Lonchura striata: one gene and its partner. The protein of the gene in region 1 binds, or shares a complex with, the protein of each later gene. Links are inferred from orthologs where the notes say so. Each region holds a gene or a part of one and is shown in the gene's direction. Other genes may lie near its edges.

Region 1 (3,744 bases):
GCGCTGCCGCTCTGCCCTCGGCTCGCTGGGGAGAGATGCTGGCTCTCCGTGAGCTGCGGCCCTCGCTTCCGCGGAGAGCTACGAGGTCATTCAGAGTCAGGAGGGCTTGTTAGAAGCAAGGAAAGAGTTTCAAGGTAGGTTAAAGCTTCAGCCTTTTTGTTTGGACCTGTCTGCTGGCGTGCTGGTTTTTGGAAAAGTGCTCCGGCAGGTTTGTTTGTGCTGGTGCAACATGTTTGTGAGACCTGAGAAAACCTGCACAACTCTCTCAATGTATATCTTTAGAATGTGTTTAATCTGCTCTTGATACAAAGCTCTGCAGGGCAAGAGCTTTCTTTTTATTATGTGTCAAAATTATGTATCTAGAACAATGGTTTTTAGATCGATTTTCAGATTACTAGATACTTTTCTAATGGAAGAAATAAATTGTGAAAGTGTACTTGAAACATATGTCAGAGAGAACAGTACTTCTCCAGTACCAGGAGTGCCTACTTTATTTGGCATCATATTCTGCATCAAAGCTTGATGACTTCTGCAAGCTGCTGGAAAATACAGCGACTATGCAATCCACTATCCAGTTTCCAAATAGTAATAGGGGAATCACAGTGCCCAGAGTAGAAAATGTCTGGTGTAGTGTGGCAGAATGGGAAGCACTGATTGACAGACCTGATTTCAGGACATGAAGCTTGAGTCCATCGATATTTACTAGCTCTACTTCAGCGGTGCTCCTTGAGGCACCCAAATAGGATCAGATGAGAGCCTTTCGACACGCTTGGACCTTCATCTGAAATTGCAGTAATTCTGCCCAGACAGTGCATATCTCTGGTGTTAAGCCTAACTGAACGCCATCTGCCTTGTACAGAGTCAATTCAGGTGTCTTTTCCTTTGTGGCCTTAATTGCACTTGAATAATTTGGAGTCATCTATTTTTCTAGCCATTTCCCGGGGCCAGATAAACGCACCCTGCGAGCCGAGTTTAGCGCAGGACCGTGACTGGCCATCAGCGCTACATTTCGGGGGTCTCCGGTCCTCCTCCCCAGAAGGGCTCCGTGGGGCGCCGACAAAGGCAGCGCGGCCCCGGCAGTCCCGCGGGGAAGGGCGGGCTGCGGGAGCGGCGGCCGCCAGGCCTTCCCCTCCCCGGGGCTGCGGGGCGCTCCTGCGGCGGGGCCGCCGCGGCGCGGGAAGCGCACACGGGTCCCGGAGGGGAAAGGACGCGGTCGCGGCGGCTCCCGGGGCGCAGGGAGCGGAGGCAGCAGGGGTCACCCGCCGGGGCGAGGCAGCGCTCGGCCCCCCCGCAGCCGCCGCCGCCGCCCCAGGGACCGCCCCGCGGCCGGGCCGCGGCGGGCGGGCGGCGGCGGAGATTGACGGGCGGGCGGCCCACCCGGAGGGCGGAGGCGGCGGGGGCCGCCAATCAGGGGCGGCGGGCGGGCGCCGAGCGGCGGGCGGGCGGGGCGCGGGCTGGGCGTGTGCCGCGGCCGCCGGCGGGGCGCGCTCCCGCTCCGCTCCCGCTCTCCCCGCACGCACATTGTCCGGGCGCGGCGGCGGCACAGCGCCCCGGCGCCCCGTGCCAATGCGGGGCGGGCGCGGCACGCCGGGGGCGCCTCCACCACCGCGGTGGAAACTTCCCCTCGCCGCCGGGCCGACGCGCGGCTGAAGCCCCCGGCGGGGAGGAGCGGAGCGGGGTTTCGCCCGCCTGGGGGGGCGCCTCGTCTAGTTTGGTTTTTCCTACATTGGAAGGGCAAAAGCGAATACTGCTATCCGGCTTTAAACTTCCGCGCTCCGCTCTCCAGGACGCGCATCCCGGCCGGCGGGGTGGGCGAGCCGGTGAGTGACCGCCGGGAGCGGGCTGGCGCTGGGTCGGGGTGGGTGGGACGCGCCGTCGCGCAGGGGCAGCGCCCACCGGCTCGGCGGGGACGGGTCGGCAGCGCCGCCGCCACCTGTTAGCGGGGCTGTTCCCCCCGCCGCCAAGTTCGTGCCCCCACTGTGCTGCGGCTGTGCCCGCCGTGCCCGGGGCGGCGGTGAAAAGGAACGGACCCTCGGCCCGGTGGGCGGCGGCGGGGCCCGGGGTGTTGGGGGCGGTGGCGGCCACCCACCTGCTCGCCTGGCCGCGCCATGACTCTGCTGCCTGGGCGCTGCCTGCCGACCCGAGCCCCGGCAGGCCGCCGGCGTGGGAGGGTGGCGGGGTACCACCGAGCCGCAGCCTCTGTACCCCCTTTGCCCTCCATGCTCTCTGCCCTCCATCCCCTGCCCTCCTTCTGCCGATTCTGTGCACTCCTGTCCTCCTCCCAGGCTGCAGCCCTTTTTCCTTCCCTCCCTTGCCGTCCCGCGCCCCTCCGTCTCCCTTAGCTGCAGCCGTGTTCACCTCCTCTTCTTCGCACCCCCAGTTTGCAGCCCACTGCACCCGTCTTCCCTCATCCCCTTGCATCCCTCACGCTGTCCTGTGATGCTTCAAAAGGGGAGCAGCAGACTCCCACTCTTGGCCAAAGCGGGTACCTACTGGGCTCTGACACCCCCAGGAGAGACCGGCTCCCTGGCGCTGCCAGGCGCCGCCAGGCCCGGAGCGAGGCGCGGAGAGGGCAGGCAGGTGGCGGAGGCGCAGGTATTGGTGTGCAGCTGTGAGCGAGTGAGCGAGGTCCCCCGTTCTGCGAGCATGCGGCTCTGCGGAGCTGGTGACACCTCCCTCCTCTCTCTCCCTCCCTCCGAGGGACGCTGGCCGCCGGGGCTCTGCAGCGTGCCGAGCCTTCCTGCGCCCTGCTGCCCTGCCAAGGGTATCGCGCCGTCCGGGGCTGCAGCGTCTTCACCCCAAGTGAAGGTGCATCTGATGGCTCGCTTGGCCCATACAGCTCCTGACTGGGAATGTGTTTTGAATTGCCTCAAATAGTGGAGCGTGCCTGGAGACAGATGATGAGAAGTCAGAGTGGACTGGCAAACTCTGGAGCTACTGGAGAAATGCTTAGGACAGCTGGAAACAGGACTGTGCAGCAGGAATGGCTTGTTAAGCCATTGCATGGCAAGTCAAGCCATTGACTATTTCAGTGTCCTGAGTTGGATGGTCATATCGCTTGTAGCCTGTGATACACAAGTTGCTCCTGGGTAGGTCTTTGAAATGCAGAAAAGGTATGAACTCCTGGTGAAGCTGTGTCACGATGTATTTCAGTCTGGTTGGCATGGGTAGGATGTGCATCTTGGAGCAGGAACTGGTTTTGAATGGAGGAAAGCACATGAGGTTTGGTGTGGGCTCAGCTAAAGAGTTGCTGTAGTCAGAATTGCTGATGTGTTTATCCTTCACAGTCGTGAAGTATTTTAATTCTACAGCTGGTGATTTGTGTCATTTTCCCAAGTGTTTTTAAGACAGCCATGTCTGAAGCTATGTGTATCACCCCTCTGTGTGTCTGGTCGTTTCCTTCTCCTCGTAAAACGTTTTTTCTGTGTGATTAATAATGTGCCAACTGCTTCATTTCAGCACTGGGGAGGCTGATGCTGATTGATTTCCCTTTTCAGTCTTCTCGGTGGGTCTGGAAGCTGATGGGTGTTATCACTGCAGAAGAGTCTGCTTTTGGGTGGGAGCTGTCAGCATGTCTTTTTTTTTATCTCAGCTAACTTCTTACTTCTTTTAATTAAAAAGAGATGAAGTATGCATGGTAATACCCTTCATGTTTACATAAAAATGATCTTGTAATTAGCAATAATTATCTCAGTTTGGGATATTGCTGAGATATTTAAACAGGACTTATGACCTGAGGGACAC
Region 2 (3,744 bases), on another chromosome or scaffold:
GCAGAGTTTGCCCTCAGAAGGAAAGATATGAAACAATTTCAGCAGATAAAAAGAGCTTGAGAGCTGTGAAAGTGGGAGCAGTAGATTGTTCTAATTGCCTCAGGAAAAATTAACTTAATACTTTTGGGTAACACAAAGCTTTGAAAACCTGAATGTTTAGATGCTTTTTGAGAACTGCAGAGAAGCATGCAAGTGTAAACGTGCTGCTATTTGTCAGCTCTTTTAGCACTGGGAGGAAAAAAACAAAAAAATCTGAAGATAGCTACATACTGTACTGCCGGGTAAGGGCCATCACATGATGTCTTCTTGATCCCAGAGGTATGAAGTGAAGCTGATGTATGAAAGAAACCCACTTTAGGGAGAAAAATGGTTGATAGTGAAGTTTAGGTATAGATTTGCTTAAGGTGGGATTGAGAGTTTGCAAGCTTGAGTAACATGACAAAAATACAGTTTCAGAGAAGTACAGAGTAAAGCAGACTCTTAGTCACAGTTCTTACAAGGTAAACGGTACCACCAGGATGTATTTTTAAAATCCATAGTTAGAATTGAATCAAAGTCATTAAGGTTGGTAAATACTACCCATATCAAATCTAACCATGAACCTAACACTGACAGGTGCTGCCCCAGGAGCCTGTTCCAGTGCTTGTCCACCCTTTCAATAAAATATTTTTTCCTAACATCCAGTCTAATGTCCCCTTGACAAAACCGTTTCCACTTGTTCTATCAATACTTGAAGGAAGGGCATAGAGAGGTAGGGACTGGTTTCTTCTACTGTATCTGCAGTGGCAGGATCAGGGGAAATGGCTTCAAACTGAGACGGAAGAGATTCAGATTATACAGAATCATACAGAATAAGCTGAGCTGGAAGACGCCCAATAGCTTTTCTTCACTGTTAGGGTGGTCAGGCATTGGAACACGTTGCCTAGGGAGATAATGAAGTCATCATCCCTGGAGGTGTTCAAAAGGCTTCCGGATCTGGCACTGGATCATACGGGTCCAGAGTTACAGTACTTATGTTGGGCTGAGCTAGTGAATCCGACCCTACCCCCGCACGTTCCCACCCACTCGACCGCGGAACGAGCCCTTTATTTCCCTAGACCGCATAACCGTAGCTATCCGCAGCTATCTGCGCCCGGCCGGCGCTGTACCGCCCGCGCAGGCGCAGAGGTGCCGCGCAAGCGCGGAGCTCCCCAGGAGGGCGGCGCTTCCCTGGGGCGGTCGCGGACCGAGGCAGCCGCGCGGGGCCCTGTGGAGCGGTCCAGCCCCCGCCCAGCCGGGCATTGTTCCCGGCCCGTCTCCGCCGGGAAGACTCAGCCGCCTCCCGAGTCCGCTGCCTGCCGCGTCGGGGGGAGGCGCGCTGGGGGCAGGGGCCCAGAGCCCCTTTGTCGCCTCCTCCCCGGCGTGAGGCCGTTGGCGAGGCTCAACATGATGGCGGCCGAGGCCACGGGTGAGGAGGGAGTCTCGGGCGCTGTCGCCGGGACGGCGGGAGCCGCCGCAGCAGGAGAGCTGGGGCACTGCCCCGCCTTGTGCCGTGGCCGGGCGCCGGAGCCGCAAAGCCTCTTCCTTGTCGGCGGCGGCCCCCCAGGCGGGCCGGATTTGTGCTCGGTTCTGGGGCTGCTGGAGCTGGGCGCGGGGCCAGCCCCTCCAGCGACCGCTGGGGCTGCCGATCTAGGCTTCCCCCCGCTGCCGCCGCCGCCACCACCGCCCCCGCTGGCTGGGGGGCTGGGGACAGTGGACGAGGGAGACTCACTGGACGGACCGGAGTACGAGGAAGAAGAGGTGGCCATTCCGCTCAACGCGCCCCCCACCAATCAGTGAGTACCCACCGCCCCCGCCTCAGTCATTGTGGGGAGTGGGTACCGTGCTGTCGACCCCCCACCGCTAGCCGAGAAAAGTGTATGTCAAACTCGGCTGGAAGTCTCGCAGGAGCTTTGCGTCCCACCTCGTCACCTTCCCTCCCTCCTCTGGTTCCGTTCCAGCAGGAAGTTTGCTTCGCGGGGACACTGCCCGTAGTCTGCGGAGCGCAGCCCACCCGAAAGTCGGGAGAGTGAGCGGCAGCAGCAGGGAGGTTGGACTCCTTCCCCTTCACGGGGAGCTGGTCCTCCTGTACTGAGTGGGATCAGCTTACGGGAAAAGGGCGACTGAGTTAGTTTTTTGCAAGTTTTCATAGCAGTACTGCAGAGGCTGCCAGGAAGAGTGAGGTATTCTGCTTGTGGTTTAAACTACCTGTTGGGGAGACTTTTCCAGTCACTGGTATCCCCTTCACAGTAGAGTCATAACCTTAATTTCTAAAGAAAAACAAATAAATAGTAAATAGAAAAAAAAAATCCATGGCATAAAAGACTTTATTTACCATGTCATCATTTTGTATTGTATTGCTTTCTGCTGAAAAAAAAAAGATAACTTACCTTTTCGAATTTATATATAATCAACCAAAGTAATGTCCACATGTTCGATCTTTTTAAAAATTCAGGCAGTTCAATTCTCGCATCATGGATTTAAAAGGAATTAAAATAATTTCTTAATTTTAAAAGTGTTAACCGATTGGTATTTTTATAAATGTTTTAACTACCTTGCTGCTCAACCAATTTAGAGTTGTTTTTATATAGGTTGTGCTTGGAGAGAGGAGACATTTGGAATAAACTGTAAACTTATAGTTAGGTTTTATTGTATTTATCCGTACATCAGGTTAATTTAGATTCCTTTAGTGGTAGTAATAGAATCTTCCACTAGAGGCAGACTAGTTCTTTGTTGAAGTTGTGTGAAATATAAGATCGGGTAATGTTATAGAGAATCCATGAAATTAGTAAGTACTCTAAACACAGCCTTTGGATTTCACTGTAGAAGATTTACAGGTTTACTCAAAGCATTTCCAAGGTGTGTATTAGAATAGAGAATAAATCTTTTCTTCCATTTCCTTATCATATTCTCCCCAAAATGAAATGGTTCAGAGGCTTACATTTTTTCATTAGTATAATTTCTATAAATATGTTGTTCTTGTAGTTCTTACAAGTATAGTGGATAATTTAGGGAGTAACATACATTTGTATTTAAAGAGATATATATAGATAGGTCAGAAAGTTAACCTAAAAATCTGTGAAATTTTGGGTTCATTCCTTATATTCTGTCATAACTTGACTGACAGAGTTAACTTCAGCATTACGTTACATACTCTTAGGATTTCAGGAGCCATTGTCCTTTTAAGTAGGACATAAAATTGTAATAGCTTCTATAACAAGCTTCTCTGAGCTTGTTTTGCAAATTAAAAAAAAAAGCCCAAAGCAAACAAAAAAGCTCGAACACAAACCAAATACAGTATGAATTCCTCGTCTTCTAATTTTTAGGCTGTAAAGATGTTAAGAAGTGCTTTTTTAAACATGAGTATACTTTTAAATAGTGTAAAGTTGGCCATCTGGCTTTCACAGTGACTAGTATGAAGAGATGGGAAATGAAGCACCTGCAGGTTCTGCAGTTCGCATAAGGATGTTGTAATATAGTTTGCTCAGGGAGGTTTGGGGAATATGTGTTCTTTTAGTGTGTATTCTTTAATATTCAAACCATGGGAGGATATTAACATATAAGACCTTCTCTTTATTAGCAAACTCAGAATCCCCCAGTAGGGTTGATTTTTTAAATCTCTGACCTAGAGTGAAACTAACATGAGGCTTGTCTATTCAAGTGTGGCGGGGAGTTTTCATTTTTATGTAGCACAGCAGTGGTGTGTTTATATTGCAGATTAATGGT

The links. The genes of interacting proteins can lie anywhere in the genome.
Region 2: the proteins of HRAS (region 1) and RASA1 are in contact, whole or in part, in a crystal structure (PDB 8BOS), measured with the Homo sapiens proteins. The link is inferred for Lonchura striata from reciprocal best matches to the Homo sapiens genes HRAS and RASA1. Residues at the interface, in NP_001123914.1 of Homo sapiens: Gly12, Gly13, Ser17, Ile21, Gln25, Asp30, Glu31, Tyr32, Asp33, Pro34, Thr35, Ile36, Glu37, Asp38, Ser39, Tyr40, Arg41, Gln61, Glu62, Glu63, Tyr64, Ala66, Met67, Lys88, Lys117; in NP_002881.1 of Homo sapiens: Gly746, Arg749, Glu783, Thr785, Thr786, Arg789, Ala790, Thr791, Glu799, Lys803, Ser833, Arg894, Gly898, Phe901, Leu902, Arg903, Cys906, Pro907, Leu910, Asn911, Met914, Arg928, Ile931, Ala934, Lys935, Gln938, Asn939, Asn942, Val944, Ala948.

The regions. Positions count from the first base shown.
Region 1 is NC_134608.1:44,540,661-44,544,404, reverse strand, and holds the start of HRAS (GTPase HRas), read left to right. Parts: upstream 1-1,558; 5' UTR 1,559-1,820; intron 1,821-3,744. UniProt on the Homo sapiens protein: Involved in the activation of Ras protein signal transduction. Ras proteins bind GDP/GTP and possess intrinsic GTPase activity.
Region 2 is NC_134642.1:53,188,683-53,192,426, forward strand, and holds the start of RASA1 (ras GTPase-activating protein 1), read left to right. Parts: upstream 1-1,309; 5' UTR 1,310-1,425; coding exon 1,426-1,814; intron 1,815-3,744. UniProt on the Homo sapiens protein: Inhibitory regulator of the Ras-cyclic AMP pathway. Stimulates the GTPase of normal but not oncogenic Ras p21; this stimulation may be further increased in the presence of NCK1.